Linked DNA regions of Lonchura striata. The main gene of each other region encodes a partner of the protein of the gene in region 3 in a complex. Links are inferred from orthologs where the notes say so. Each region holds a gene or a part of one and is shown on either strand. Other genes may lie near its edges.

The links. The genes of interacting proteins can lie anywhere in the genome.
Region 1: the proteins of CALCRL (region 3) and RAMP3 are in contact, whole or in part, in a cryo-EM structure (PDB 6UVA), measured with the Homo sapiens proteins. The link is inferred for Lonchura striata from reciprocal best matches to the Homo sapiens genes CALCRL and RAMP3. Residues at the interface, in NP_001258680.1 of Homo sapiens: Arg38, Asn39, Met42, Thr43, Gln45, Tyr46, Glu47, Tyr49, Gln50, Met53, Trp69, Asp70, Ser117, Arg119, Thr120, Phe228, Leu231, Ile235, His238, Thr239, Val243, Val245, Lys249, Gln250, His251, Trp254, Tyr255, Phe257, Leu258, Phe262; in NP_005847.1 of Homo sapiens: Trp56, Cys57, Leu59, Phe62, Ile63, Tyr66, Glu67, Thr70, Cys82, Tyr83, Pro85, Asn86, Pro87, Leu88, Gln90, Ile93, Thr94, His97, Arg98, Cys104, Thr105, Val106, Asp107, Arg108, His110, Leu111, Glu112, Asp113, Pro114, Val118.
Region 2: the proteins of CALCRL (region 3) and RAMP1 are in contact, whole or in part, in a cryo-EM structure (PDB 6E3Y), measured with the Homo sapiens proteins. The link is inferred for Lonchura striata from reciprocal best matches to the Homo sapiens genes CALCRL and RAMP1. Residues at the interface, in NP_001258680.1 of Homo sapiens: Asn39, Met42, Thr43, Gln45, Tyr46, Glu47, Tyr49, Gln50, Lys51, Ile52, Met53, Gln54, Thr68, Trp69, Asp70, Gly71, Arg113, Arg119, Thr120, Phe228, Leu231, Ile235, Thr239, Val243, Ala244, Gln250, Trp254, Tyr255, Leu258, Phe262; in NP_005846.1 of Homo sapiens: Trp59, Ile63, Tyr66, Arg67, Ala70, Phe83, Trp84, Pro85, Asp90, Phe93, Leu94, His97, Gly98, Phe101, Arg102, Cys104, Pro105, Ile106, Ser107, Gly108, Arg109, Ala110, Val111, Arg112, Asp113, Pro114, Ile118, Leu119, Phe122, Ile123.
Region 4: the proteins of CALCRL (region 3) and ADM are in contact, whole or in part, in a cryo-EM structure (PDB 6UUS), measured with the Homo sapiens proteins. The link is inferred for Lonchura striata from reciprocal best matches to the Homo sapiens genes CALCRL and ADM. Residues at the interface, in NP_001258680.1 of Homo sapiens: Val36, Thr37, Asp70, Gly71, Trp72, Asp90, Tyr91, Phe92, Gln93, Asp94, Phe95, Asp96, Pro97, His114, Ser117, Thr120, Trp121, Thr122, Tyr124, Thr125, Asn128, Val135, Ala138, Leu139, Leu141, Phe142, Thr145, Thr191, Leu195, Ala199; in NP_001115.1 of Homo sapiens: Cys110, Arg111, Phe112, Gly113, Thr114, Cys115, Thr116, Val117, Gln118, Lys119, Leu120, Ala121, His122, Gln123, Ile124, Tyr125, Gln126, Phe127, Thr128, Asp129, Lys130, Asp131, Lys132, Asp133, Asn134, Ala136, Pro137, Lys140, Ser142, Pro143.

Annotation. Positions count from the first base shown.
Region 1 is NC_134603.1:82,685,484-82,693,509, reverse strand, and holds the start of RAMP3 (receptor activity-modifying protein 3), read right to left. Parts: upstream 3,062-8,026; 5' UTR 3,048-3,061; coding exon 2,885-3,047; intron 1-2,884. UniProt on the Homo sapiens protein: Accessory protein that interacts with and modulates the function of G-protein coupled receptors including calcitonin gene-related peptide type 1 receptor (CALCRL), calcitonin receptor (CALCR) and G-protein coupled estrogen receptor 1 (GPER1).
Region 2 is NC_134610.1:38,601,737-38,608,614, reverse strand, and holds the start of RAMP1 (receptor activity-modifying protein 1), read right to left. Parts: upstream 3,062-6,878; 5' UTR 3,021-3,061; coding exon 2,981-3,020; intron 1-2,980. UniProt on the Homo sapiens protein: Accessory protein that interacts with and modulates the function of G-protein coupled receptors including calcitonin gene-related peptide type 1 receptor (CALCRL) and calcitonin receptor (CALCR). Required for the transport of CALCRL to the plasma membrane.
Region 3 is NC_134610.1:31,706,619-31,713,531, forward strand, and holds the start of CALCRL (calcitonin gene-related peptide type 1 receptor), read left to right. Parts: upstream 1-3,889; 5' UTR 3,890-3,993; intron 3,994-4,023; exon of another isoform or gene 4,024-4,184; intron 4,185-6,913. UniProt on the Homo sapiens protein: G protein-coupled receptor which specificity is determined by its interaction with receptor-activity-modifying proteins (RAMPs). Together with RAMP1, form the receptor complex for calcitonin-gene-related peptides CALCA/CGRP1 and CALCB/CGRP2.
Region 4 is NC_134608.1:51,968,061-51,975,353, reverse strand, and holds ADM (pro-adrenomedullin), read right to left. Parts: upstream 2,682-7,293; 5' UTR 2,491-2,681; intron 1,909-2,490; 5' UTR 1,893-1,908; coding exon 1,795-1,892; intron 1,482-1,794; coding exon 1,341-1,481; intron 866-1,340; coding exon 562-865; downstream 1-561. UniProt on the Homo sapiens protein: Adrenomedullin/ADM and proadrenomedullin N-20 terminal peptide/PAMP are peptide hormones that act as potent hypotensive and vasodilatator agents. Numerous actions have been reported most related to the physiologic control of fluid and electrolyte homeostasis.

The DNA.
Region 1 (8,026 bases), on a different chromosome or scaffold from region 3:
GGTCGGTCTCAAAATAAAATGGTCTGTTTTGTAAAAGTTTATTTGTTTTACACACACACACTCACCTTGGTCTATTAAATTCAGAACTCCTACGATGGTATTCCCTTTCTTTGTTCCACCCTTTGCAGCTGCAGAACAGCATGATATTCATAAGAAAATAATGGGGAAAAAAAAAAAACCTTGATTTGGTTTTCAAACTTTAACCCACTAAAATTGTTTCCTGTTGGATTTTTTTTTTTTTTATCATTGGAATCCAAACTCTCCAGGACTTATATATGCCATGTTTCACATAAGGGCAGCTCAGGACCTTACAGAATTTGGACTTTTATACTCAGCTTTTTCATTATTGTTTGCAGATGAGGTAGTCTTCAAAACAGAAAGTAAAAATGTAATTGGGACCAGGCTGTTTCCAACTGTCCAGCTGCTCAGCTGTGACCAAAGCACTAAGCCTGGCTGACCCCTGTGAAAACAGATTATGAAATGCAAAAACCAACTGACTATCTTTGAAATTTGCACACAAGAACTGCTCCAGATAAGGATCACACTATCTCTCTTGAAATAGGTTTATAGAAATATATTGAGGAAGATTACTCTGGAATTTAAAAAATACCCAGCTTTACTCTGGTAGCATCTTTTTACTCAAATACAAATAGTACCATGGAACTGCAGGTGTTACATAAGGAATGAAGGAGAAACACTTGGGCAGGGATTCCAAAACAATTACCTGTATAAAAAAAACGACTTTGTTAAAAGTGGTCAAGCCCTTACCTCTTCTTACCTCAGTTTCCATACATAGAAGTATACCAAGAAAATTTGGTATGATGGTAAATACAACGCTATTTCTTAGGTGCTTAGATTCCACTGTTAGTAGGTGTCTTACAAGTATCTACAGCTCTGCTAAGCCAAATCAGAGGATTTCACCTGACAGCTGGTGTTTCCAGCTCTTACCCATTCTGGATGTTATTGCACTTCACAGAACTGATGACATGTCTGTGTACCAAGTACCTCGGCTGATGCATTCTTTCCCCTCCACACTCTGTAAATTCAGCTTCTCCTACAATCACTGAGTGAACACACTGCCTTTTTGTCCATCTCACTAAGGATGCACAACACAACAAGTAGTTATGCATAGACATAATGAGTCAAAACTCCTAGGCAGAAAGATAAAGAAAGTAGTTGCCTGTGGTTACAGAACTACAGTCCCACACCCCACCCAGATGGGCTTCCCACTGCCTTCAGTGAGCTTAGCACTGAGGAATAGTGGTTTCACCTTAATGACAGAGGTCACAGCTCTGTGCTTAATTAAAAAAAAAAAAATAAGAATGACCATTCAATTAAAATAAATATTCTTACAAAATAACTATTTTTTAAACTGTGTTTGTATTTCCAAATAAGCAATTTAGTTTTCTACCAATTTAGGCTTTTCTTATAAAAAAACCTGAGTTCACATCCTAAAACTCTAAAGTTTTTCTACTAGGAAACTAGTCTCATTTAATTAGTTCTTGATTATATCTACCCTTTCCAATTCCAAGAAAAAGTAATGTATTATCAGTTAACAGATATTCTTAAAATCTTTTGTGTCTGCGTTATTCAATTAGGACTAGAACTGGCACAGTTAAAAATGTCTAGCACAATTGATTTATCTGTGCCTCTCTGGTGAAAAATGTCCTGTAGCTTCCTGAGCCACAGCGACACTGTCCTTCACTCTAGTAAATCTCTGAAAACAAATCTCCAGTGGATAATTCTACTTTGCAAAAATCACAGCAACATTGCCTCCCCATACAAAAAGATTATTGCCTATTTCCCTAAGTTCAAGACTGCATAAATATTTCACATGTCAATACAAGTGTTGGTTGTCTTTTCAGCTGAGGAATAACAGAAATCTGAGCAACTAAGGTAAGATTTTAGAAGTCCTCAAGCCACAGAGAATCAGAAATTTGTGCATGTAGCATGTCATTCTGTTGACAGACCAGCTAAGGATGATGCTACTGAGCACTGTAGAAACTGTCTATTTGTTTGTGGGTCTTTTCATAGAAATATTGCAGTGTTTAGCAGTTTTGGAAGGGGTCAAAAATAACAAAGTTCTGAAGTCCTCAGATATATCTTCTAAAGGTACCAGGCTTGAATTTTTGTTACTTAAGTGTGACTCACAGGAAATCAACTACATCTCTTAGCTTACTGTTGAGTGAAGATGATCAGAGCTGATTTCTGGCAACTTCAGATGACTGCAACACATTAAATATGAGAGCCCTAAGCAATCTACCTGACAAGGAACAATAGTTTTTCCAGCAGCCAAGGCAGACTAAGTGAAAGATCTGAAGGATATCTGTGCTTGATAGCTACGTGCTTGAAACTCAACTACTCTAACAGGAATCAGCCCTTCATTCTTCAGGAAAAAACCTTTCCCAATAGCCAAACACACCTCCCCAGAATCCGTGTGGGATCCAAGATGGAAATCCTGACTAAGGCAAGAAGTTAGAGATTGTTTACCCCGGGGCCTGGACTCCTCTCAGAGATGTCGGCGCGATGCTGAAGGGGACCACCGGCCCCGCTGCCCGCCAGGCGCGGCTGGAACGCTCTCGCTGCGAAGCCGCCGCTATGCTCGGGATGGAGAGCCCCGGAGGGAAAGTGATCCCCGCTGCGTCCCGACCCGCCGGCAAGGGAGGCCCGGAGACCCCCTCCCAAAGGGATTCTCTAGCCAAAGAAGGGGCGCTCCCACCTTCCCCGAACTTCAGCCCCACGTCCCGGCTTGAAGCATTGCCCTCGGAGACTGCGCACCCGCGAGGATGCTCAGCCCGTCCCGGTGCAGCAGCCCCGGAGCGGTAGCGGCGAGCCCCACCGCACACTGCCGGGACGCCCCCGGCCAGCTCCGCCAGCCACTTACCCCAGAGCAGCAGGACGGGGAGCTGCTGCCGGCGGCTGCCCTGCGCCTCCATCCCGGCGCGGGCGGCAGCGGCCGCGGAGGACGGAGCCCACATGGGGCGGCCAGCTCGCAGCCGCAGAAGGCCCGAACTGGCTTCAGGCCGCCCGCAGGGGAGGCTCTTCATGCCTCGGCGTCCAGCCCCGGGCGGCGGCGGCAGCGTGGGCGGGGGCGCAGGGGAGCAGCTCCTCCGCCCCGGGTGCTTCCAGCAGGGCGGAAACGGCGGCCGGGCCGGGCCGGGCCGGGCGGAACGGGACAGGACAGGGACAGGAGCAGGGGCAAGCACGTGCGAGTGTGCTGTGTGTGCGGCCACAGAAGCGCGGCTGTGCCTCCTGCTCCTCCAACAACCACGGCAGGAGCGATGCCGCTCCCAGCCATCGGTCTGTGTGGCTGCCTAGAGGAAAGGCACCTACCCCCAGGGTGACAGTTCTGGTTGTAACTGTCTGAGGGATTCAGGGATTCTTCACCCCTTGCCCTGGGAGCCAGATCAGTTGCTTTCATCCTATCACAACATCCTGGCGGTGGGGGTGAAGGCATGAGATGCTGGAAGGCCACCTGTGTTAGCTCACTTGCAGCCATTGCACGGCATGTGTTGGCATGCTCAGTATTTACAGCTGAATATGGGGAGTGAGCTTGTCTGACCCCACACAGACCCAGAGCAGCCTGGAGTTCTAAGATGCTACGTGTATGTGTATTTTTATGTTGCAATTTCATCTTTGCCTGTCTCTTTTCAGAGATGGTACAGCTCCTGATTTTCATCAATATTTAAAAGCTGTGTTCCTAGAGCTCTCTAGGAAATTAGCATATCCATCGAGAAACACCAGACTGGGAAGCTGCTAAAGGCGACTTTTCTTACCTAAAAATAGTAGTATTGCTCAGTAACGAGGACTCAGACTGTTCTTCTGGGTACATGGACACTCCACCTCAATAATGGCCTTCTAGTAGAACATTAAATCACTGTCATTATTAAAGGTCAAATGTACCATCAAATTTCAAAAGAGATTTTCAAGCCACACACAGGAACAAAGAGTACTTTTAGGTATCAGTCAGGTTGTTAACATTGACTTTGTACACTTGCCTTGCACAGTGCTCCAAACACTTTTGGAGACTGGGACCCCAAAATGTGCCTTTGTAACCACTGTTTTCAGTACACAACCTTTGTCTGATTTATTCTGTTGTCTAGGCTGAAGGAAATGGAGAACTTCAGAAACCACAGAGAAGGTTGGGAATACAATGTTGAAACAGCTCTGTAGACATTTAAGTGTGTCACTGAGAGTTAACCTCCTATCCCTTGTGTGCCACTTCTTCCACTTAGCTGGAAGCAAAGCTTGTAAAACACCATAAACCATAAATAATCCGTAGCTCAGGGAGATCATCCTTCAGCACAGGGGCTACCATTTCTGCTTTGTAAAGAGTGTTTGCAATCTGCCCCTGCCAGAAGAAGCTGCAGCAAAGTGACAAGCATAAAGGCACATACACCACAGACTAGTTATACCATCTATACATTATGTGTAATATGGATAATTCGTGCCTGCAGGGTGATAGGTGAAATGAAGAAGGTCTTTGCCTTTATTAGTGTTCAGCTCTTTATTAAAAAGTCAGCTCGGCAGGGGGGGGTGTTGTAGCTTCTTCTGGTAGCTGTAGGGTGAGAAGGCGTGCAGAGTCTGTCCCTGGAGTCTCCGTGGCACACTGGTAGCCAGAAGTGAAGAGGTGTCCAGTCTGTATCTGAAGTCCCAGGAGACTGTCCTCTTTCCTTTCCTCCTGGTACACTGGTAGTCACAGGGTAGGGGGAGGATGTGCAGAGCCTGCTGCCGAAATCCTGAAATCCGGCAGCAGCTATCCCTCTCCTGCCCTCCTGGTAACACCAGGTAAAGTGTCTGTTCTCCTTGTGCCTGCTTCCCACAGTCCAATCCAATCTGGTCCTCTGCAGGTTATGGTGACAGGTCAAACACAGACTAGGGATGGGGTTCCCTTTTCCCCAACCAGCACACCCATCCAGCCCCCTCCACTGTGCCCCTCTTTTTCATTTTGGGGTACTTTTCATCCCCAAAACCCCCTCCCATGATTCCACTGGCTTATTTTGCATCCTAGTCCTAGTTTGGGTGGGGGTGTAGGTGATTCCCAGGAGCGATTAGCTAATTAACATTTCAATGTCCATACTTAGCTTAAGCCAAAGTGTCCCAGCCAGGCTGTTTTGTTCATAACAATAGGTATGTAATGTTTCATACTACTGAAATTATTGGCATAAAACATACGAGCCAGAGCTAGGGGGTTGCTTCACATATGTTGAAACTATAGCTGATAAGACTTCATTTACAAGTTAATACACATAGGTCCTTAGGTTCGAGATGGGTCATTTCTCAAGGTGATCTAGGAACTCCCAGGCAATGATTGTCCTGGCTACTACCCAAGATTGAGATCTCTGGAACCACCAAAAGATACATCTCAATACTGAGTTCCCTTTAACTCCATCAAGGATGTACTTCCTGGACAAGGATTGCTTCCTGGACTCCTGTTTGTTCAACTCAGCACGGAGGAAAGAGACTTTATAAAATTGTGGGACTTTGAATGGAAAGAAAAGGCTGATTGCCAAAATCCTGGCCTCGAGCAAAATAAACCATATAAAATCTGCTTGCACATGACGGTCAGTGTGAAACATAGGGGTATGCTGTGTTGGTCAAACCTGTGTCTCACCCAGCACCGATCCCAGTCTCAGCACTGTCCTTTTCTTTGTAGCTGGCTCAGATAGAATTTGATCGCTAAATAATTTTTTTTTTTTTAATTTGGCTAGATTAATTTTTACCTATAACATATAGCATTCTTTCTAACAGTAAGATCTTGATTTCCATCACAAATTCCATTTCTCGCAAATCTGAAAATACAGTTAGTATTTTCAATAATTTAGATTGATTTCCAGGAGGCTAAGCATCATGGTTTATTGCAATATTATATGTTTAAAATGTTTTAAAAGTATAGTATATTATACAGTATAAAGGCAATGCTTTTTGTAACACACCTGGAGATAATGGTGTCGGGTCTTTTTGCATCAATTGCATTTGTTTTCTTCTCCTGTTTCAGATTAAAAACTGGCAAAGTGAGTGTTACTTCTTCCAACTCTCAAGATTCAGGAAGCACTTACCATTTTGTGCTTGCAGCACATAGTTTGAAGGTGCAAACAGTATCTCTGAGGTAGAAAAAATTGATAGAATTTATAGGTAAATGCACTAATGCAGCATGTTGCATTGTGTTATGTGTATTTTGGATAATTCATGCTTATAAAAAGAAATATATATAGAATATGTTATGTTGGTCAGAAATATTCTTAAAAGGTTTTAAGCATGCAAGCCAGAGTTGGGAGATTGCTTCAAGATATGTCAAAACCGCTGACAAGAGAGAGGAGGACCTCATTTGCAAATTAATGAACGTAGCAAGGTGATCCGAGGAACTCCGAAGCGATGAATACTTCATAAATACATCGGAAAGATACATCTCAATGCCACGTTCCAGTAACTCGACGATGGACTTACATCACGCTTTGGATACAGTTTTGTTCAGCTTGACCTGGAGAAAAGAAACTATGTGAATATACTACTCTGAAAGGAAGAAAATCTTGATCGCAGAAAACTCTGCCTCGGGCAGAATAAACTGTATAAGAACCGCTGGGACAGGACAATCAGTGTGAACATAGGAGACCCTATGCTGTAGCGGTTGGACCTATGTCTCACCCAGTGCCGATCCCGGGCTCGGCTCTGTTCTTTCGATTGTGGCTGTCTTAGACCAAATCTTGATCGCTGAATAAAAATCTGATTTATTAATTATTAATTATTAATTAGGCTTGATAATTTTTACCTATAACAATTGGATCACAAGCCAGCTATGGTAGGTGATATCTTCAGCAACGTGTTCTAAAATGAGTAAGTCTGATTCACATTTGAACAAAACTGTGACAGCAGTAGAACAGTCCTCAAGATGGTTCAAAAAACTTAAGCAGTTTGCAGTTTTTCAGTAAGACTGACCACTTCCCCCAACTCCCATTGTATTGCAGTAATGCGAAGAGATTCACTCCAAAATGACTGCAAACAACCTTTTTTGTTCTGCAGATCTGCTTTGGTAGCATCATGTACCTACACTAGCAGCAGAAATCCAACTATAAATGGAAATCCGGCTATAAATGCCCTTTGCTATACAGAGCTCTGAATCCCGTCCTCAACACAGACACTAACAGTGACCTCAGAACCAGTCTTTTTTAATTTCCAGACATATAACTTCCAGAGATCACACTGACACCTTCTTAGGTACCCTGAAGACAGTGCTGCAATCACATTACTTCAGAATTTTTCTAAAATGCTTACATCTGCTAACAAGACATTGGGTAAAAGAAAATACAGCAACAGACATGTAGATAGTTGTTTCAGTATAGCAAGTTCCTGAGGAGTTCATGGTGAGAAGAGATAGAAGAATTCAAGCTGCCCAGGACAAGTATTATTGTCAGCACTACAGGTCTCAGAATGGTGAAGAATAAGGTAATAAACTTTCTTGCTCCAGAGTTTAACTGATTCAACAGAAACTGAAAAAATAATAAAATAAATTGAGAAAAAGCTGAAGACATTACACTATGGAAAACAACATTGCCTTTCCTTGTCACTTCATGAATTTGCCCAGAGAGAGAGACTGCTTGCCCATATGGAGGGACTTTACCCAGTGTCTGATGAAAGCTTTCTTCACCTTTTCCTAGCACAGCAATTTTGTATAAAAGACGCATTAAGATTTCAAGACCACGTTTTAATGGGATTGCTTGCTGGACCGAGGTTTGAAAAAATAGGTTCAGTTTGCCTGTGGTTTGAAACTAAAGTAGGTCATCCTTCCTATTTAGTGCTCCTAGAAACATGCTGTTCCTGCTCCAGAATTAAAAAAAAAAAAAAAAAAAAGTATCTGCAGGTTATTAAGATAATTCCTCTCTTTTTACCATCAAGATAGGAAATGTAAAAACGTGATAAACCACACTGTCCAGTTAAAAAACAACTTCTTCCTGTGACTCAAAGGCCCCACTGTGGTATATTTACTGTACGTCATACCGAAATTTAGTTTACATCGGTCAGATCTGAT
Region 2 (6,878 bases), about 6.9 Mb from region 3:
GGATGTGTTTTCAGATCCCCAAAAGCTCATGCTGTAGAAGCACAGAGACAAGGGACTGAAACCATGAAGCAGCTTCATTAGAGGATTTGATGATTAAAAGCACCCAGCTCTGCAGGCAGTGTAATGGCAGATAGGGATGAAGATTCCCTGGTAATCACCCATCCATAGAGGAACTGACCTGGCAAACCCCAGCCGTGGCTGTATTTTAGAGCAGCAAAAGGCATTTAGCTATCTGAGTGAGCTAAAATGCTGCATTTCCCCTCTAATGGGTTTTTAATGCTCCTCTTGCTCCAACCCAGTGGTGCTTTAGGTCCTGGCTTGGTGCAGGCACCGTGCTGGGAAGGGCTCTGACCACAGCCACGGACTTGGGGCACAAATCTGCCCTGAACTTCCCCCCAAAAAATGACAGAGCCAGACTCTGCATCCAGTCAGGGAGGCAGAACAAAGCTGCCAGAGCAGAGCAGCAACTCCAGACTCCCACCCACGGCTTTCCAAGACATCCCTCAACTCTGCCACAACCCCAACGTTGATTTCTAGCCCTGTGGAAAGGTAAAAGATGCCAAGCCCATCTTTACCCATTATGAGGTCTCATTTCATTCCATCCAGGCCATGGCATTTGTATTTGCATTACTGCAGGAGGCTGCTGTGCCAGTGCTTCACTTAAACTCAGCATCGTTTCAGAGCTAATAAATGCAACCCTATTCCTCAAAGCCAAGAGGCTTCCTGACAACATCACACAGCCTCCAGCCAGCCCACCAAACCCACCTGCCACTGGTTCCTGCAGCAAAACAACTGGCACCTATGGGAGCAGTACAAGGAATTACAGGGTGGAGGCAATTTTGTTGTTCCTATTCACGTGCTTCTCTTTTGATGCATAGGAAGTTTTGAGTCCTCTCCATGCCAGAGATGCTCTCAAAGGAGGAGGAATGTTTTACTTTATTGTCAGGGATTTCTAACGAGGCATTCTGTAAATATTGGGGATTTTCTCAGAGAGGCAGCAGCCTTAAGTTCGAGTTTAAAGGGAGCTTTAGCTTTTGATTAAGGAGGCACTCAAACTGCAATCAGTGGCAGGCATTACCGAGTGTGCTTTGGCCTGAGAGAAGACACAAAGCACTTTAATTCCTGTTTTCCAGGAAAGGTCATACACACTGCCTAGAAGTTTTGTTTTTAAGAAAGCATCGTTTTCTATAGACTATGCAAACACAGTGCTGTACAGCACAGAGAAAAGATGCAGGGAATCAAGAAGGTATTAATGTTTTACCAACCTTATTTGCAACTGCCTCTTACCTCTCACAGTAATAGTTATCTACACCCAGAAAAAATCCAAGCAGCCCAGCACAGAGCTGTGTGTGGTGCCAATCATCACTGCCCCAGTAACAGCAAGAGCCTGCCTCATCCCCTCCTCCCTGAGCAGCCTCTGCAGGAAGCTGCAGTCAAAACCCAGAAAAAGCCCCAGTGGAAGTGGTTACCTCGGGGTACAGCTGGATCCCTGGCCTGCTGAATGAGACTTTTAGGATGACTGATTCCCTGGCTGCCATTGCTTTTTAAAGACTGCAGCCAGTGGTGAAATTTCTTAAAGCTCAAGCTTTAAAAGAAAGGTTTTTCTCTCAGACCCTTCTCTTTTTTTTAAAAAAAATCTCATTTTAAAATACCTGCATTGGTGCAAATCACCTTGATTTCTGAGCACTCAGTTGCCACTTGCAATTTCAGGGCAGCCCTGACTGTGTGCAGGGCCGTAAAAGCAGAAAGGTGTAAAAAGAGTAAGTGGGTCTTTTTGTTAAATGTGCTCAAAATACAAAATCCCAGGAGGAGAATGTAGTGAAAAACATCTACAGCACCAAGATGAGCTGTCACTGGGCACCTGGTTCACACAAGAGGCAGCATCTTCCTGCTCCTGAGCCCACTGGAGATGGAAAGGAGCAGCCTGGAGTACTTTTAAAAGTTACAGCTCCCCAGCAAAGAGAAGGGAGAGTCAGGAAAAGGAGACGGGGCAGGGAAAAAAGAGCAGAGAGAAATCCTAGCTAGCAGGAGATAGCGCTCTCTGCACAGGGCTGTGCAGCTTTTCCCTGCAACCCCGCAGGAAAATGTGCCTCGTCCAAGGGCACGGGCTGCTCCTGCCCTGCACAGCTGAGGAGTAGTAAATAGTTAATTACAGTAGTAAATAGTTAATTACATGGTACAGATCAGCACATCATGTGTAGCACGGCTCACTGCGTTACTCCCCAGGGTTTGGGGGGAAAAAACCAGCACAGGGGAAGGAAGGGAAAGAAGGAAAAATTTGTGCTGCCTCAGGAGCACCTTTTGTGGAAGATCAGCTTAAGATGAGGGGGTGCGGTTTCCCTTTGGAGCACCTTAAATAAACACACTTTTACACAGCACCAACACCATCACCACCCCTCCGAGCTTTTGTTGAGGGCACACAGGTGACAAGCACGGCACAAGTCTTTACCTGTTGCACTGAAATGCTAGGAGCAGCGAAGAAACCGAGGCATCCCATGGAAACAAGCACACAACTCCAGCGTTTCCAAGCCCTCCACCCGTAAACCCCAGAACATCCGACCTCAGCTCTTTGAAGAGGCACTTCTGGCTACCTCCTCTTCCCTGCGGCTCAGGAATGGGAAGACAGACTACAAAAGGCAGTAATTAAACATTTCCAACAAAAGGCACGGACCAGAGACAGAACCCGCCTCGGTCCAGCTCGCCTAGCAAGCAGAGAATCCCCCTACAAAGCAGGCTGCGTCCCACAGCATCACCACCTCACTGCTCCCGAGGCCAAGCGCCCTGGAATAATTTCTCCTTTTCCTTTCCCTACTGCTGTGTCGCCAGCGAAGCCAGGCTGGAGCCTGGCCGGGCTTCAGGGAGAGCGGTGGGAGCGCGGAGGAGGCGGCCGGGGATGCACGCCCGCGCCCGGCGCAGAGGGAGTCCCGGGGAGCCTGGCGCGGCGGCCCCGGGGAAGTTGTGCCGCGGCGGCCGCACTTACCCAGCACGAAGCAGAGGAAGCGCCGCGGGAGCAGGGCCATGGCCCCACGGCAGCCGCGGCTCCGCTGCCGGGGCCGGGCGGGCTCCGCGCCCGCGGCGCTGCCGGAGGGAGGGCGGGCCCGGGGCGGCCGCGGCCCCGCCCGGCTCCGCTCCGCTCTCCCGGCGGCAGCGCGGGCCGCAGGAGCGGGAGCGCTCCCGCGGGGACAGCGGGACGGAGATGGAGCCCGGGCTCTCCTTATCGCCCTCTCCCCCTCGCAGCCCACGGGCGAACAGTTCCGAAGGAAAGCACGGAGCAGCCCGCCTTCCTCAACCCCGGTTCCACCTCCAGCGAGGGGATTTCTCCCTAGCTAAAACATCCTGCCTTCTCCCCCTTTCTAGGGCTGAACATACACATGGAAGGCGATTTTAAGGAGGAATGTTTTGTGGTTTCCGCTTTAATGTTTATTGGAGTGTAGCACCGCTCCCGAGCTCCTACAGCTCCACCTGCAGCTCGCTGCGGAGCTGTGCCCCAGCAGCAGAGCCTCAGGTGCTCCGGATCGGGATACGCCCGTGCAGCAGGGCAGGACTCTGCTGCAGCGGGGTCACTGCCCCACAGCTCGCTTCTCTCACGCCTGAGGTCAGCTCTCCCTCTCGAAGGTCAATAAAAAAGGAACAGCAGAGTTTGCTAACTCGAGTCTTTCACATCGTGCACACTTTGCTTTCCCAAGAGGAACAAGACAGCCAGTTCCTCCTGAACTATTAGCACCCGCCTAATCACAGAGCCCGGCTTGGGGAACAACAGCTGCTGGTAATGAGGTGAAGAGCAAAGCCTGGGACTGCTTCCATCTTGTCAGAGCCCGAGACACCAAAGCCGCGGCCTCACCTGCAGCACTGGGACCAAGGGCACAGCACAGAGCCATGGCTCTGCCACGGGGACAGGCAGCAGAAGAGGTCTGCAAACAGCACAGCATTGACCCAACTCTTTTGAAGAACAAATTTTAACCTTTATTGACAGTAAACAAGGCTGTTATTTCCAGCAGCAATTGCAACAAAGTACAAACAAGAGACTGGGTTAGGTGATCTCTGAGCAGAATCACCTTTTCTTAAATGTATTATATACTTGTTTCTTACTGTGGAAAATGGGGATTCTTATTTCCCCATTATTTAGTAATGCCTTGGCCATTTCACACCTCCCTCATGTTAAAAATAAAAATTATTATAAGTCATCATCTCCCACACAAAACAACAGGGAAAAAATACTGTAATATGAACAATTTGGACTGCAGAGCCCACGCACCACTGGAAAACCAAATAATCACTCCATAAGGAAAGCACAACACATTTTGAGGCTGTTAAAACTGACTGAAAATGCTTCCAAGCATAAGATTTTAATGTTTTGGGGATGAGTTTCTGTCCCTATCTACAGTCCTGTGAAAGTCAGCCAGGAGATTAATCCGAAGACTTTTGCAGGAAATGTGGCAGTGGCGCTGCTAGGAGGTCCCTAAAGCAAGCAGAGCACCAAGCTGAGCAGGAGACTAAAGCAAGGATGGACACACATCCCTGGAACTCTGGGCTGTAATTTCAGCACCTTCAGCTTGCTGCAGCGCCACACGACCAAAAGCATCGGTGAGAGAAAATAACAAGACACAGTCTGATTCTGTCAGGTTTCCAGCCCAGAGCTGGCCCAGGCAGCAGACAGAAACCATCAGTGTTTGGATCCAGAGGGAGCCAGGGCTGGGATTTCGGGTGAGAGGCTACACAAGGCCTGGCCCTTAGGTGTCAGCTGTGCACTGAACGCAGACAGTGCCCTCCACACAGCTCAGCAGTGAGGCAGTCCAGCTGTTGGAATCCAAAATACAGGGGATTCTCAGGACTTTGGGCCTGTAAGCCAAAGCTCAGAATTAAACACAGGCTTTGATCTGACTTGGAAAAGTCTTCCAAACTTAGGTGCTAGAAGCGAGAATGTGGATTTATAGTTTAAAGAAGAGACACATTAAGAACAGAAAAGTTTACACTTTTGAAGTTTAAGATAGAGAAAAAATGTAAACAGTTACAAAGATAAACAAGGAGTTCAGAATGCAGTACTGTAGGTTTGTGTGTCATAACATGACTGACTAAGAAAGCTTACACTGTAGCATGAGTTCATAAGAGGAAATATTTAAAAATTGGGTCAAAAAACTTAAATATCCTTGTTGGCAGTGTTTTATTGGCCAATAAAGCTTTAAAAGGTCTTATAACTAAAGGTCTTGTGACCTTCTGAACTATGCACTAGTGAGTCAAACTCATCCTTTCTATCTATATAGAAGAAAAATAACCACATAACCTAAAAACTCAGAGGTCCTGTCTCTACCTTGTTCAAAATGCCTTCAAAAATCCCCATATTCAGTAATAAACCACCAGTACACCAAGATTTATAGAATGCAACCTGTTTTACAGCTCCCAGTCTTTATAAACCGCTGCTCCAGTGGATTCACCCCGGTACCTCCTGCAGGGCCAGAGGCTGCAATAATCTAGTCAGGCTGTAGGGTGGGTTTACTTCCTTTAGCCTGGAATATTCACCTCTTTCAGTGCTTCTGCTGCTGAGAACTCAGAATGTCAGAGGCCTTCTCCTCAATAGAACTGATGGCCATGCCACTCAGGACACCCTTGTTGATTCTCCTCACCTCCTGCACTGCGCCTGCAATTTCCTCTCTGTGGGAATGAAGGAAATAACCGTGAACATCATGTTTTGTGCCACACATTTAGTGATTGGTTAGCATGCGTATTGACTACATTACAAATTAGGGCGAAAAAGAAATCCAAATATCTCACCTGCTAAACCCTGGATGCCTTTTTTGGAGTCTCTTTATTAACTTGGTAAAGCTGCTCAAGTTCAGTGCGTAAGGAGAAACAAAGATACCAGATGGGTCCACAGAGGAACAAATGGATGTTTTCTGCAGGGAATTTTCCCCAGGATCCTAGAAGTGCATCAAAATAAGGGAAAAAAATGCATGGCTTAAGGGTTGTACGGGTAATAAAACACCTCTTTCCTACAAATAAATATAAAATCCTAGATCCACAGAATGGTTTGGGTTGCAAGGCACCTTAAAGCTCATCTTATTCCTGCTACTTTAAAGTAGATCCAATTACCATTTCCCAAAGGACCAGCATGTTTAAAGGGAAATCCCCAAAGACAGCAAATCTGTGGGGTTTATGTGAGCAACACCAGCAATTACTGAATTGCCCTTTACTCTCCAAGGACTAAGCTGAGCCAATACAAAACACTGTATGTATAGATTTCTTAGATTTATGCTGGAAAATCCAAGAGTTTCCTTCCCATCCATTACCCCAAAATCTTTCCTGTATAAAGCCACAGGACGCTTACATTAAAAAAACTGGTGTTGCAAGATGAAAAATGTAGTGCAAACGTGGAAATTCCAAACTGTCCTAGGATTCAGAAAAACCAGCTGGGGTGTCACAGTCTGATGCAGGGGCAAAAGAATGGTGCTTTCACTCTTCTGCCACATGACAGAAACTTATTACCAATATGTTACATATTTTCCTATCCTTACATAATTTTCTATCTATTAAATGTTACGTGACAGGAAGATTTAAAGCTTAGTCTGCCACACAAAGTAGTGTGAGCAATAATTACTTCCCTTCTGATTATCTCCAAGCAAACAATGTGCCAGCTGTTGAGTAGGTGATTTCAAATCAAGGCTCTTGGTAGTAAATGCAGAGTATGAAAGAAGCCTTAAAGAGGCAAGAAATTCCTCCTACAAATTAAGAACAGACCTACCTCAGGCACTGAGGTTTTTGGACCACCAACAGGAACAGAAGATTGTTCATTCCCACTCCCCACTGTCTTCACTTCTAGTAATAAATGTAAGAAAGTAAAGAGTGACTGTTCTTGAGCTGACATCTTCTCCATAGACTTTGGA
Region 3 (6,913 bases):
ACTCTTAGTCGTAAAAATTTCTCATGGGCTGCCAGCATTAAAGCTTACATAATTGCTAGATTCCATGATGCAGCTCAAAGGGAGGCAGAGCTGAAGTGACTGCATTAAACTAAAACATCTAGGGCTTTCATGTAAAAGACAAGAAAACTCATTAAGCTGTCCCACCAAGAACATTGAAAAGGATTTGTAAGATTTGTGAGATTGATTAGATTACAAACTAGAATGATGAACTTTCTAAAACAGAATGTTTTGAAATGAGACAATAGATATAAAATGTTAGGAAAGAAAAGATTAATTTGTATGCAGATTATATTGTGATTCCTCTGTCATTTCATGACAGTGTCTCTCCTTCAGGCTCCCTCTTGTTCCAGCAACTTTTCCATGGCTGCCTTGATTCAACATCTACAAAACCCACATGGGAAAAAAGATCTAGGGAAAAAAAAAATCATCCTTTCTGTCCCAGCAGAAGCCTGGCTGTGTGGCTGCTCTCCATTTTATAAACTTCCTTCTCTCTGAGCTCTACTGCAGACTAACGGGGTCTCCTCACTGAGAGGGATCAGCTGCTCCCAGGACTGTGAGACTCCTCCAGGACTGCTGTAGCTAGGATAGGACTGACAGGTACTCTCCCATCCTCTCATACCCCACTTAACATTGTACTGGAGAAACTTCTTGTGCTCCTGTGGTATGTCTTGTAATAACAGCAATTAAGGGATCCAGTGAGGTCTCTGTTGTGTCATTGTTGAGAGAGGAGGGAAATGGTACAGCTAGCATCTCAAGAGTACCTCTCTTTCAACTGACTAAGAAAACATTTCATAGTGATTCATCTGTCAGGCCTGTTACTTGGTGCAGTGAGAATCAAGACTGCAGTGTCACAGACTGTAAAGACCTGATTATAATCAAGATTTGATTAGAGAGTGCAGGCTGCTCACAGCTGTGTGTGCAGTTTGGCCACCACACCAGCTATCCAGCTGTTTTTGTTTAGCTCAACAGTACATAGAGATATTTTTTTCCCATAAAAAGTCCAAACTGCAACGTGAAATGATCTTCAACATAATAAGATTCTTTTGTGCCCTTCTGCTTAATTCACTTCTTTTTGCTTCTGTACCTCCCATAGCTGCAGAACAATCAAATCCAATAAGAAAAAAAGATCTACGCATTTCCCAAAGACAACTAAAGGATGAGCAAGGGCATAATTGAGGCACAACACAGGAAAAGGTATGGGTCAGGTGCCAGAGTGGTGAGGCAGTCAGAAGATGAGGCTGTGCTAAGGTGCTACGGTGACTGTACAGTTCCACTTGACTAGAGTCCATTCATCCAGTCATTTCATTCCAGAATTTTCTCCAGTTGCTTTGGGAGGGGAAATGCAGAGTGCTGTGAAATTTCTCCCACGCTGTTTGGTAACAGCCAACAAGCTGAAGCAGTTTCACAGAGGTTTTGATGAGTTTCCATATATCATCTGATCTGCAATAACTTGGTATGTGCTCTTAATCCACACAAATGATATCAAAATATTTTTGAGAAAAAATTAGTGTCCTTTTGTTAATTCTCTTTTTTCCTCACATTTGTACTGATATGCCCTCCTTTTTCTCATTTTTATTTTCTACCTCCTGCTTGAGTTTTATTTATGGTTCACTTGAGCCAGAATTTCTCCCTGCATCTCTAATCCCCTTACTTTCTCAAAGCTATAGTTATTTTTTTATTCACATTTTGAGCATGTTTCCAGCTTCTACCTTCTGAAACTTAGTGAAGGAGACCTAAGGGTTGCGTTTCCTAACCAGATGTTTTCAATGGTGTCTCCACAGAAAGAGCGGGCTTCATGTGAAGCAGAGCTGTATGCGTGTGGTTAGGGGGTGTTCACACAGGGCAATTAATTCCCGCATTAATTAATTCCCGAATTAATTAAGAGGGTAAATCCTTGTGCAGGTAAATCCTGCGTTTATGCCCCGTGCGGCCGCGAGAGGGCGCCAGCGGCGCGGCGAGCGCTGGGCGGGACGGCTCTGCTGGAAAAGGGGGAATTCCCTGGATTTATCTTCTTCTCTCGCTTTTAAGCCTTTTTCGGTCCCACTCCAGGGAGGTTTGCACATTTAGGTCCCCTTGAACTGCTCCTTCCTTAGCTGTCGGCAAGAAGGGCACCTGTACGGGCGTGATTTACGCAGCCAGCGACGGGGAGATGCAGGGGAGCCGCCACTCTCAGAAGTGCAAGCTGCAACAACGGAGGGGTCTCGGGAATCTGTAGGGTATGAGTAAGTAAGTTTTAATGTTATTTAATCAGTAGAATATAAAACATTGTAAAAATAAACTCCAAAACCCCCCCGAGCGAGCAACCAAAAAAAACCCCCACCAACAGAAATGCTCACACAAAAATCCAGTGACTTTGACAAGCCAAATGAAGCATGGCCTGTGTAATACGTGTTTAGCTAATTCAGGTGCCTGTTTTAGAGCTGTGAGCTTGGCTGGAATACATGGATTATTCTCTAAACTGGAGTGTGTAATGTACCCTGTTGCAATCTTCAACCCAGACCTAACTGGTTTAAAGCAATGCTACCAGGCTCATTCCTGGTGAAATTCCTGTACCTGAGATGACACCACTTCTTTTAGAGAAGTTAATTTCCATTGCTGTTCAGAATCAGAGCTCATCCACAGTTTATATGTGTTTACATTGCCTAGAGGTTCAGAGTGACAGTCCTTAGTTCTTCACTGATTATAAAACTCAGACATTCTCCTGTTGATGAGAGATGAAGCACCAGTTCTCACATGTGCCAAATGAGTATCCAAGCCTGCTTTTTTGGTAATCCTGGAGTGGGATTTCACAAATTGTATTGTCTAGGGACCATTTGGATTGAAAGTATGCCTGGCCTTCTTTTCCCTCTTCCAATTTTTCCTGACCCTGGGTTTGGGCTGGGTTTTATTGAAGTTTTTTGTTTGTTTTTATGTTTATATTTCCCCCTTAGCTTTTTGTTCCTTGCTGTTTTCAATGCCCAGGTAAATTCTTTCATTCAGTTCACAGTGTGTTCCACAAATTATTCTGCTGGAGGAAAAGAAAAGTGGATAAGTGACAGGTAGCAAGAAACAAGCAGAATATTTTATGTTGTTTTATGAGCAAATTCAGTGGTATAATTTTGATAAAACCTTGTGACAGTGTGACTTTTGGGAGGTTCTTGTGGTGTTCCCTAAGGAGTACTGGTGTTACAGGCGTTCTTATAATTTCAGTTTGATGCTCCATGAACTCCCCATTTGTTCAGCATAGTTTTCCTGTGCATACAGTAACTGGTTATTGGTTTAGAGGGCACAGATTCTGTCCATAGTACAGGGAATTGATTGTATAAAAAATATTTGTAGTTTCTGGTACAATATTCTTTGAAGCTAGTGGAAAGACTGCTATCCATTTTGTTTTGTCCTGTGTCATGGCAGTTTTCAAACCATTCATACTTGTGCTTTCACATCACCAGTGTTTAGAAAAAGATAGCGTAGAGATCAGCAGTAGCAATGTTCCTGTTGCTTTTTTTCCTATATACTTCTTGATAAGTCTTGATACTTCAAAGACTTATTTCTTTAATACTTTTTTTTTGTACCCAAGAAAAAAAATAGTAGCACTGTAAATTATGTGCCTGATTGTGATTGAAAAATTGAATCTGACCTGTGCAGCTGCTTTACGTCTGAGGAATAAAGGGAATTTCTGTGCAGAGCTTGTCAGCCCTTACGGTATGGGATGTCATGCAGAGCCGGTGGGTCAGGTCAGGCATACTGAGGAGCGATGCAGCTCTCGTGTGCTCTGAAACTAATCTGTTTCTATGGGTCTAGCTGGAGGAGGACGGCGAATCTCAGTGGCTCGATACGCGAAAGGACAGGTCCCGTGGTCTCCTCCTAGCAGCAGAGCGGCGAGCGAGCGTCTTGCGGGCGGAGCTGCGCCGGCCGGGGCCAGCCGGCAGCGCCGGGGCTCGGACGCCGCTGCGGAGCCCCGCTTCCCCGGGCCACGCCGTGCGGGAGAGCAAAGTGACTGCCGCGGCCGCAGGCGGGGTCGGGTGATGTAACAGGAAGCGCTGATGCTCGGCCGCCGCTCCGCGCTGCTCGGACACGCTCCCGCAGCAGCGCCGCTCCGCCGGGACAGCGCTCCGGATTGCGGAGCCCCGGGAGAGGCGGCCCCGCTCGCTCTGCCCCGCGGCGCTCTCTGCAAGCAGGGCTCGGTGAGTGGCTTCATTGGGATCCTCGTTCTGCCGCCGTGACACCGCAGCGGGCGGCGGGACCGCGGCTCTGCCCCGACCCCGGCGGGCGATGCGGTCTGCGCCCGCACAGCCTGCGAGGAAAACCTTCGCTCGTTTTTAGCGAGCGAGGTGTTGGGCTGATTTTATAACCGGCGGTGTTATGGTCTACGCTCGGTAGGATAGATAGAGATAAAATGCCCAAAGGTAGCGCTTTAAGGATTCTGCCTGAAACCTAATATTAACTAACCAAATCTCTGTCTTCACATCTGGAGAGAATTAGAGACTCGTTGGCTTGAAAAGGGTCCTTAAGACTAATTCAGTACAACTGCAGCTCTTTCAATAGAGGCTGAATTAGGTGATAAAGTGGTGTAGGTTTACTTACCGAGTATTTCTCTAAACTTATTCTACCAGAAAGAGGTCACACTTGAGTTGTTTCATAATTAGGTTTTGTGTTGTAATTACACAACTTAAAAGATAAAGCTACTGTTTTGTTTGGGCTTTCTGTTTGCTTGAGCAAAAGTTGGGTTGCTTTGAAGGCTGCACGCCTGCCGGCACGTTACTGTTTGAGGTTTTTGACCGCAAACACCGAGGTGATTTATTGACAGCTAAATGCCCACTTTTCCTTCCTTAGAGAAACTATTGAACGGTGGCAAGTGTGTGATGCCGTGCTTTCAATTGCCAGCTGATAGGCAGTTAACGTCTTGACACTCCTTAAGCTTTCCAAAACAGATGTGATACCCTCCCGTTTTACAAATGCGGTTGCAGTGCTGAGATTGGGAATTCTAGTCATTTGCTCGTGTGGTAAGAAAGGGAGCAATAGAACCAGGAAAATAAATCTTGTTAGGCTGTAAATCACACCTGGATTTGATCTACAACTAATCCTTCAGTTATCCATGCAGTTTATAAGAGAAGAGAATGAAATTGTTATAAAAATAACTGAGGGTTTTTTTTCTCTTTACCTTAATAAACTTACACCAGGGACCTTGGGGATGGACTTTGCTGTTCTTACAATTGTGCCAATGCAATCTTCCCACTCTTAATGTGCCTGCTGGGGATCTTGTCATTCCCTTACACTAGTAATGCTTCTAACAGTTGAAAACTCTGAATCTGAGGTCCTCTCGGTGCATGGGAAGGAGACACTCTAGATTAATATAAGACCACATCTGAAAACAGATGTGTTTTCTTTTAAAGTACATATGCTGTGGTACTATGTGAAATCCTTAGTTTTAAAAAGTTATCTGTATTAGCATGGTATTTTCTTCTCTAGTTTGCTTAAACTCTCATTATTTCACTGTATATAGAAGCAATCCCAAAGTCTTTATCCAACTTTGGGAATCTGCACAAAAGGCACTTGGTGACACTAAGTCAATAGAGATGGCACTTCACATAAACGGTGCTTATGTTAAATGACCAGTGCAGTGGGAACAACTGTCTTTAGAAGTATACCAGCTAAATGATTTAGATTCTTATTTTTTGTTCTTCATAGGCAACTGGTGTATGTTGAAGTGGGTCTGCCCACAGAAGATATGCCAGGCATGTGCATGTTTGCAGGCTGTATGTCAGAATCTATGTTGTTTGCAGGTTAAGCAAAGACAGGCGGGGCTGTCTTTGCTTAAGAAGAGTGTGACTGCATTTTTTACTGGACAAAACTGAGTACCTGATAGATTGCAGATTCAAGAATTGCTTTATGTGTGTCCTTTCAACTTCAAATGTTACTGCATACTGAATTTCTGATCATTTGGAGTCATTCTCTGCCTTAAGAGATATAGTACTTGTCCCTTTGAATAGGCTTTTCTTGATACAACACAACTGTTGAAACCCTGGCCCACTGAGAGCCAGTGGGAACTTTTCCACTGACTGTCAAAGGGCAAGACATTCCTAAATGTGGGTATTTTTCTGCTGAAGGAATTACACATAGATGGTCAGCCATCCAGGGACTTTACATTCTGCTGTCTGTTGGCAGCTGGTTTTTTTGGTAATTTCTGTAATTTTGGAGCACTTCAGTTGAAAAACATGATCTGAAAAACAGAACTGCATGTGTCTCGCTGGGTGACCGGTGCCTTACCTGGGTCAGTAAAGGGACTTACTCTGAAAAATACAGGATTATTCCATGGGCTGTCTGGGTATTGCAGTTCAGATTATAGACCAGGATACAACTGAGAGTAAAACTGAGGGAAGAAAGCACATTAACAAATTTCCTTTGACATCTATATAGTTACTAACTTGCATTTGAGGTAATCATCTTTCTCCAGTAGCATTCCTGGCTTGTGCAGGAACTTGGTAGGACTGGACTCACAGAAGTACATGAAGCCATGCAGTCATGCAATTAAAATGGGACCATGGTCATTTGGAAGAAATGATGTGTTTTATACCGATATGTTTTAATAATAACATGTATTCAGTGATATTTAAAAGAGGTGTATCTAGTCACTGCTATAGTAACTGTTGAACATAAGCTATCAAAGCCATTGAGGGAAGTTGTCCAATGAGAAGACAAGTCTACAGTTAGGAAAACAAAGCAGGATTTCTCCTTAAGAAGTTGTTCCCATCTGTTGCCAGTGTGTTTATGATGTTCTTGATTTGGTACCAAAGCCCCTTCAGTGCTTCTGAGCAGCTGCCACCCCTGTGGCACACACGCAGTGTTTGCCTTGCCTCGGTGCCCTGGCCAGCCCTGCTCTGCAAGCCTGGGCAGCTCTGTCACTGAGCTTCAT
Region 4 (7,293 bases), on a different chromosome or scaffold from region 3:
CAATCTTAAATACCGATGCATATCTCGTGATCCACACACACCGCACTTATAATTAACAAAAACCACGTACAATTGCACTTTTCCTCTCTGTGACGTTCAAGTATATCGCAGTCCCCGCAGGGACTAATGAGTGTCCGATTCCCTGCCGGGTGCACATAACGCAGAGGGTAGAGCAGATGTGGGCGGCCTGTCCTTGCCCACGGCTGACGCGCACCCTCCGACCCTCGGGGGCAGAGGGCGAGGCCGGGGCCCGTCGCCCACCGGCGGGTCCCCCCTGAGCATCCCCTCCTCGGGGCGGCGGGGCGCGGGAGGGCGGCCAGGGCCGCCCGGCCCCCGGGAGCAGCGGCGGCGCCTTGGCGGCGCGGGCTGCGGCGGCTGCGGAGCCGGCGGTGCCCGGCCCGGCAGGGCCAGAGTCCGTGGCGGGCGGGGGGCGCAGCGTCCGCTGCCCTTCTCAGCTCCCCCGAGGGCGCGCCGGGGTCCCGCCCGGGCAGACGCTCTCCGCGAATCCTGGCGGATCTCAGTCCATCCGTCGAGGCGGCCTCGGCCGGGTCTTGCGGCGCTTCAGACTCCCAGGACGGCGGCGAGGGGCTGCGCCCGGCGCGTCCGCGGGCGCCGCCCGGAGCTGCGGGAGCGCGCTGGGCTGCGGCGCTCGGGCAGGGAGCGTCGCCGGCGGCCGTAGCCCTGAGGACTGATCTTGTTTGGAGGGGCGGCATCGTTCCTATCGTTGACGGCCGCCCTGTGGAGCTCGTCGACCAGCCAATGCACCGTGCACGTCCCGAAGCGGCACGCCTTTGTTTGGAAGTGGGGGAATCTGTTAATGCTCTGGCGGTAGCGCTTGACGCGGATGTGAGCATCCTCCCGGTTGCTGCAGGAAGAGAGAGAGCGCATGAGAAGAGCGCAGTGGGGGCCCGGAGGAGGGGACCCGGTGGGCGAGGGGAGGGGAGGGCAGAGGGCCCCCAGGCTGGAGACGGGCTCGTCCCCACGGTGCCCAGCAGTCCCGGCTGTGCCCTCCGCGGGAGCGCGGAGCACAGCCTGCTGCCCATGCGAGGAGAGGCCCCGCCGCTTTACGGCTGTTACTTTTCCCTATGCATCCAGGGCTCGAGTTACTATTTATATCTGACTTTCACGGCAAAGGCGCTACTATCTCCCGCCAGCTAAAGAGCGCAGGGAAAGGAAGGCGGGAGGCTGCTTTCAGCGCGATGCGCAGCCCGGACAGGACCTGCCTCTGGGGCGGGGAGGATCTTCAGCGAGAATAACCCTAAACACCCGGAAACGAGGGGACCCCGAAACTTTCCAATGTCTCGAGCAAGTGCCCGAACCCAAGAAGGGCTGGAATTTACCTGGAAGGCGAGACTCGGGAATCCTCCTTCACGTCCTGGGTGCGTATGAGAGGCAGCACGTCGGCGGCTGCCCCCAGCCCTCGGAGCAAGCCCGCAGGCTTCACGTCCCGCTTGGCTCGGCTTAGTGCCCATTTCGTCCATCTGAAAGAGCACAAGGGAAGAGGAGAGCCTGTTATCGCAAGTCTGCAGGGGCGGGAGCCAAACCAAATAGATTCGAGAGGCGAAAAACTTTGCCAGCGCCGAGATTTTTTTTTCCTTTTTTTTTTTTTTTTTCTTTTTTTTTTTTTTTTTTCCTCCCCGCAAAGTTTCCTGAAAGGGCACGAGGCCTTTAAGGAGCTGAGCAATTCCTGCAGGGAATCCAGTGCCTGTGATCGCTGCCGGAGCCAGGCGCGGGGGCTCGGCAGCTCGACGCGCGGCGCGGGGCGCTGGCAGGAGGGCGCGCTCCGATACTCACTTTCTTTTGAACTCTGTCGCTACGTCCACTCTTGCAGCATCCACCCCGAAGAAAGTCACAGAGCCGAGATAGAGCAGGGCTACGTGAAGTAGTTTCATTCTGGCTGGGCTCCTGCTGGAAGGGAAAGGGCAGAACTATAAGCATGCTTGCTAACAAAAGTCAAGTAAGGACTGTCCTTTATTCCTGGTGATTCCAGAGACCTCCTTCCCTCGCAGAGCCCCCAGGCTACCGGGGACTTTGTGTCTGATATGAACCAGAAGCTAATATTTGCTCAACAACTTATCACAGAGTAAATAACAGAGCCTCCAAAGTTTACGTTTGTCGAGAGTTTAGTTGCAGAGGCGGCTGAAAACCAGCAGGATTTCCAGAATACCCCCAGCGGCTTGCACTAGGATTTAGCAAACCCACAGGATCAGAGAGAGCTGGCTATCGGACGCATCGTTTCCAAACTCCAGCAAGTGTTTTGATGCCGGGAAGTTTATTCCCTGATAGCTCCTCTTCCCAATTCACACGCAGAACCAACTGGTTCTGGATCTTATGTTGTGAACTGCAGCTGATGCCAAGAGCCAGTGCAAGACTCCACAGCATAACTCCAAACTCTTCCAAACAGTCCAAATTTAGTAGAATTTTACTTGCGTTCCACCTCCCCTGAATCTTTTGTTGCTGCCAAGGACGGGGGGAAAAAATAGCTCTTACCTGACAGTGAGGATAATCCACTGAGACAAATGTTTTTGTAGTAGCGATCCGAGCTCGCAGGGTTTCCTGAGAAGAGAGAACTCCTCCTTTGTGTGTATGTGTGTGTGTGTGAAGTAATCACTGCCGAGCTCTGCGCTCCACTGCTCGCTTTTATAGAGCAGCGCTGAGAAGTGGGTGGACCTTGGCGTGGCTGGGCGATCTCTCTTTTGGCACCCCCCACCCCCACATTTCAAGCACTCCTTAAGCATTCTGACCTGGATTGGGGGCAACACGGAGGGGGGAAAAGAGGATTATTGAAAATTGTCTTCAACAACCCCCTTGGTATTTTGTTAATTATAACGGCAGCTTTTAGGATCCTGAGTTATGGCACAACTTGCAAAATCCGATGAGCCCCTCAGCCTGTTTTACTGGGGACAGACATTTTAACCGTCAAAATATAATTATATTTATGCTGTCTGTAGCATAATTTCTCATTCTAGACATCTTAGCTTCAGGTGGGTGAAAGCAGGGGAGTGGAAACCGGATTCAATTAAATCTAAAATCCATGAAAATCAATCAAATATCAAAGTTCCAAAAATAAACCCATATTTGGACAACGTGAATTTATGATGAGTAACTGGAATGACAGCCTTCTTTACATAAGTAATGAGGTGGCAAATCGGGCATCATTAATATTTATGACAACTTGGGTGCATTTTTTATCTAACAAAATGAATTTTATTTACTTGATCGATTCAAGTAGATCACGACTCAAATGGTTTTGGCAGATGAAGGTTAGAGGCCAGTTCTGTGCCTTGGAACAGAGCAAGTGGCATTGCTTTCAGGCAAACACAGGGTCACTGAAGCGCCTGGGGTTACGGGCGCTGGGAAGATCCGCCGTGCCTTGTGCTATTCCCTATCCGCAAACCTCACGGACGTGAGTGCGGTTACTTCCCGGTCAGATAGCTGAACCAGTGCAGGATCGGGGTCTCTTACAGCGTTCTCCTGGCTGGCCAGCAGCAAAACCTTAGTCTGACCACCTTGTTGTTGGGTTTTTTACAGTCTTTAACGCCTTTGCTCCGTGACGCTTCAGAAATGCAGAGGTCCGGCTTCGCAGGGGGTGCTGGAAGCCAGCAGCGGAGGGACCGTGTCTCCGCTTACTTGTCGCAGTGCAAATTCGGCGGGACCGAGGGAAATGCCCCGGGAGATCTGCGCCCTGGGGCGCCAGGGTCCCCTGGCCAGCGAGAGACTTTCGGCGGGAAGGAATGAGCTGGTGAGATGTTCCTCTCGCATCTTGCCCCAAGCAAAGCGTTTCAAAAGTCAGGTGAGTGAGTGTGTGCTCGTGACTGTGCCTTTCTAGATAACCGCGGTATATAACAACACCCCGGAGAGGTATGTGCAAGGGGGATGACGGAAACTTTCCTGTGCACGGCTCACTCGGTCTAAGGCGCTCTCTTCCCTCCCTCCCTCCGCTCCCCAGCAGCGTCCAGACATCTGGAGCTTTCTGTCTCCGGCATCTACCTGTGCGGGACAGGCTGGCCCGGCAGCCGGGGAGGGCCAGCACTGCCTGTCGCTGCTCCCCATGGCACCAGCCGGCCGCCCCTCTGCCCCGAGCCCCCTGCGCGGCTCTCGCGGGGCGAGGCCGGTGCCCCGGGCCGGAGCCGGCCGCCGGGCGAGCCCGGATCCGCGGTCCGCCGCACCTGCCCGGCCGAGCGCGGGGCGGAGGCGGCGGCGGCCCCGGAGCGCCGGCAGCCCGCGGGGCTCGCCCCGTCCCTTCCGCCCGCAGCCCCGCGGAGCCGCAGCCCCGTGCCCGCGCCTCGGACCGGCTCCGGAGCACCGACGGGCAGAGCGAGAGGCTCGGGGGGAAACAGGCAGGAAGAAACAGGCGAATAAGTGGTCTAGAACGGGACCGGATCGTGACCAGAGCTGCATCATCCCGGGATGGCTGGATTTTAGAGACCTCATGAGCCAGCTCAAGCTCGTGCGGGTTCAAGCATTTCCTTGATTAGCAGAAGTTGAAACAGAATCTTTTTTTTTTTTTTTTTCTCGAATGAGAAGGCAGGATTTTATGTGATAAGCATTGCTTTGACTCAAATTAAGTCTCCCATTCCAGTAAAAAAAAAAAAAAAAAAAAAAAAAAAAATCACATATTTCCTCAAATGCTGGAAACCCCCTCATTAAAATCCTTGGCTTAAACGGAAAGTGTATTTTGTATACTCTAAGCCAAACAATGAAGAAAAAAATTCCTAGTGATTTAGGATCATTAATAACAGTAGTAACACAACTCTCATGTGCCTTCCATACTGACTGTAACTATCATCTCAGTGATACAAAATTACTTCAAGTAAATTCATGAGGTGGCAAACTCTGACACATAGATGATCAGTTTGTTGCTGATATGATTTGTGAAAGGGCGTCAGCAGGTAAAGCTTGTTCAAATCTACCACAAAACATCATGTTCTTTGTTCAGATGCTCATTTTGTTCTTTCTATGAACTTGCATTCTCATGCAGTTTGGAAATGAGCAATAGTCACTAAATTGGTACTATGATGTAACAGTGGCCACTTAAAAAAAAAATATACCACAAATAGTTATTTCCTTAAAAAACAGACAAACAAACAAACAATTCCACAGAATGTTCCACAGCAATATCATTCACAAGCTGTGAGTCTGAGGCAATGCCAAGCAGTTCAGCAAGACCACTGTGTGATGTGAAGTGCAGGGTCTCCTGGATGCTGCCTCATCCGTGATGGGAAGCTGGCCTGGAGGAGCAGCCAGCCCCTGTTTACTGCTTATCTTGGGTGTACCATTCAACCTCTTAGTGTTCCCATACAGAAGACTTTACAACAAGTATCTGCTCTGCCAGGGACATGGTGAATATGAGTTGCTGTTAATAGAGAATTTTATTCAGGTTGAGATTGATTAGAAAAGGTCTAAAATCTGTGGGTAGCAACGGGGAATCATTGTGAGACAAATATTCTGTGCTGATTATGGAAGAAAACTGTTGTTTGAAGCCAGTGGAAGTGCCTTTGCATGTTTCACTTTGTTTAAACAAATTGTTCTGAATTCATATGCCATGAGTATGAATAGACTGGATTGTATTTCAGGCTGCATGAAATCAGCAGAAAGATAATACTAATAGGAGAATGGCACCCCCTGAAGGATGTAAAACCTCAATCAAGCTCCAAACAGAAAAACCTTACTGTACTCAGCCAGTTCTCTCAGTGCCAAGAGCACAGCAACAAAGGGGTGATTCCATTTTGGTAGTCTTGTTGGAGGTGCTTTGGTGAGCCTTATGTCTGACAGCTCTGACTATACCAAACAAAGCCTCCAAAGTCAGTGGGGGATGTCTATTGGTAGGGGAAAACCTGGTCAGGGACATGGCTGCCCCCTGTTCTGGCATAGGTTGGGGTGACACTGGCTAGAGACTGCAGGCAGTGTGAATTCCCTGTTTCCTGAAGGAGGAGTGAAATGTAGAAGGTATTGTGGATGTTCACACCTTGTTGTTGGCAAGTGCACAATGTGAGTGTGGCAACATTGTCCCTTGAGTGCTTTCAGGCTCTTGGAGAGGCTGCAGCCTTGCAATTGTTCCCCTGGGTTAAGTACATGAGTAGGGGCTTGTGGAGACCTGTGCCTTGGTGTCCTCTGTGAGCCCCTGCTTCTCCTGTGAGGAGCCAGGCTACCCTGCTGCAAGTGAAGGAATGGTGGTCTGGATGAACATTCAGTTTAACTTTCCATTAGAATTTAGGTGAACAAACACTGTATCTGTTCCACTTCTTCATAAGTCCTAAAAGAATGTAAGATTGCTCTATACTTAAGGGAAGTTGCCCAAAGAAGTTGTGGATGCCACATCCCTGGAAGTGTTTGTGGTGTGGTTGGATGGGTCTGAGCAACCTGGTCTAGTGGAATGTGTCCCTGCCTGTAGCCAGGGGGTGGTTGGAACAGGATGTCTTTAATATCCCTCCTGACCCAAACCATTCTGTGATTCTGTGAATAAATAAGCTCAACTGAACTTTCTATTTCTTATTTAAGACGTGCCACTTCTTATAAACTTTGGCTGTCCTGATCTAGATGGCAGAAGGAGCAAGGCTGTAAAGTGAGCACTATCATTATTGCAAAATCACTAAATAAACATCTTTCTCTTAAACCAGCATTTATTAAGGAAAGGTGTGAGTGATTCTCTCCTGCTAGAGGTGCTGTATTAAAAGGGCAGTGAGATTTTACTATTGAGATTTGTTATTGCATATTGAACCTTTTTATGGATGCAGATACAATAACTCTAAGGTCCTATTTCAGCTCCAAATTAGGTAATTTCTTAGTGTCTTTAAACTTTCGCTCCAGGTTTAGATGTACAAAACATTATCCTTTGTTTTTGTGAACTGTTGTTGTGTCCTACAACCAAAATGCCTATGCACAACTTAACAAAGATATTCCTACCTAACTTCTAGCTAGAAGAAGTGACTGATCCCACAGAGTGCATCCCTTTCTCAAAAAGTATGGTCAATCTTTTTGATGTATATATGACACATTTTTCTTTACTCCTAAACAAGGAAATGTATTAGGATTGGATCTTTACACATGTAATTTTCTTCAAAACAGCTAAATCACGAAGCTGATGACTCCGAGGAGATGTCAACCTCTGCCCTCCGCTGAGAAGGCACAAGTGGGAACACTGCTTGAAGCTTCCTGTCAAATTTGCATCTGGCTTAGCAGCAAGACACTGCATCACCATGTCCCAGCTACGAGGTGTAAGAACGGCGTGTTTGAAGCAGAAATGTCTCTGAGACCACTAAGGACTGTTTGCTGGGTCAGGGTGGATCGTCA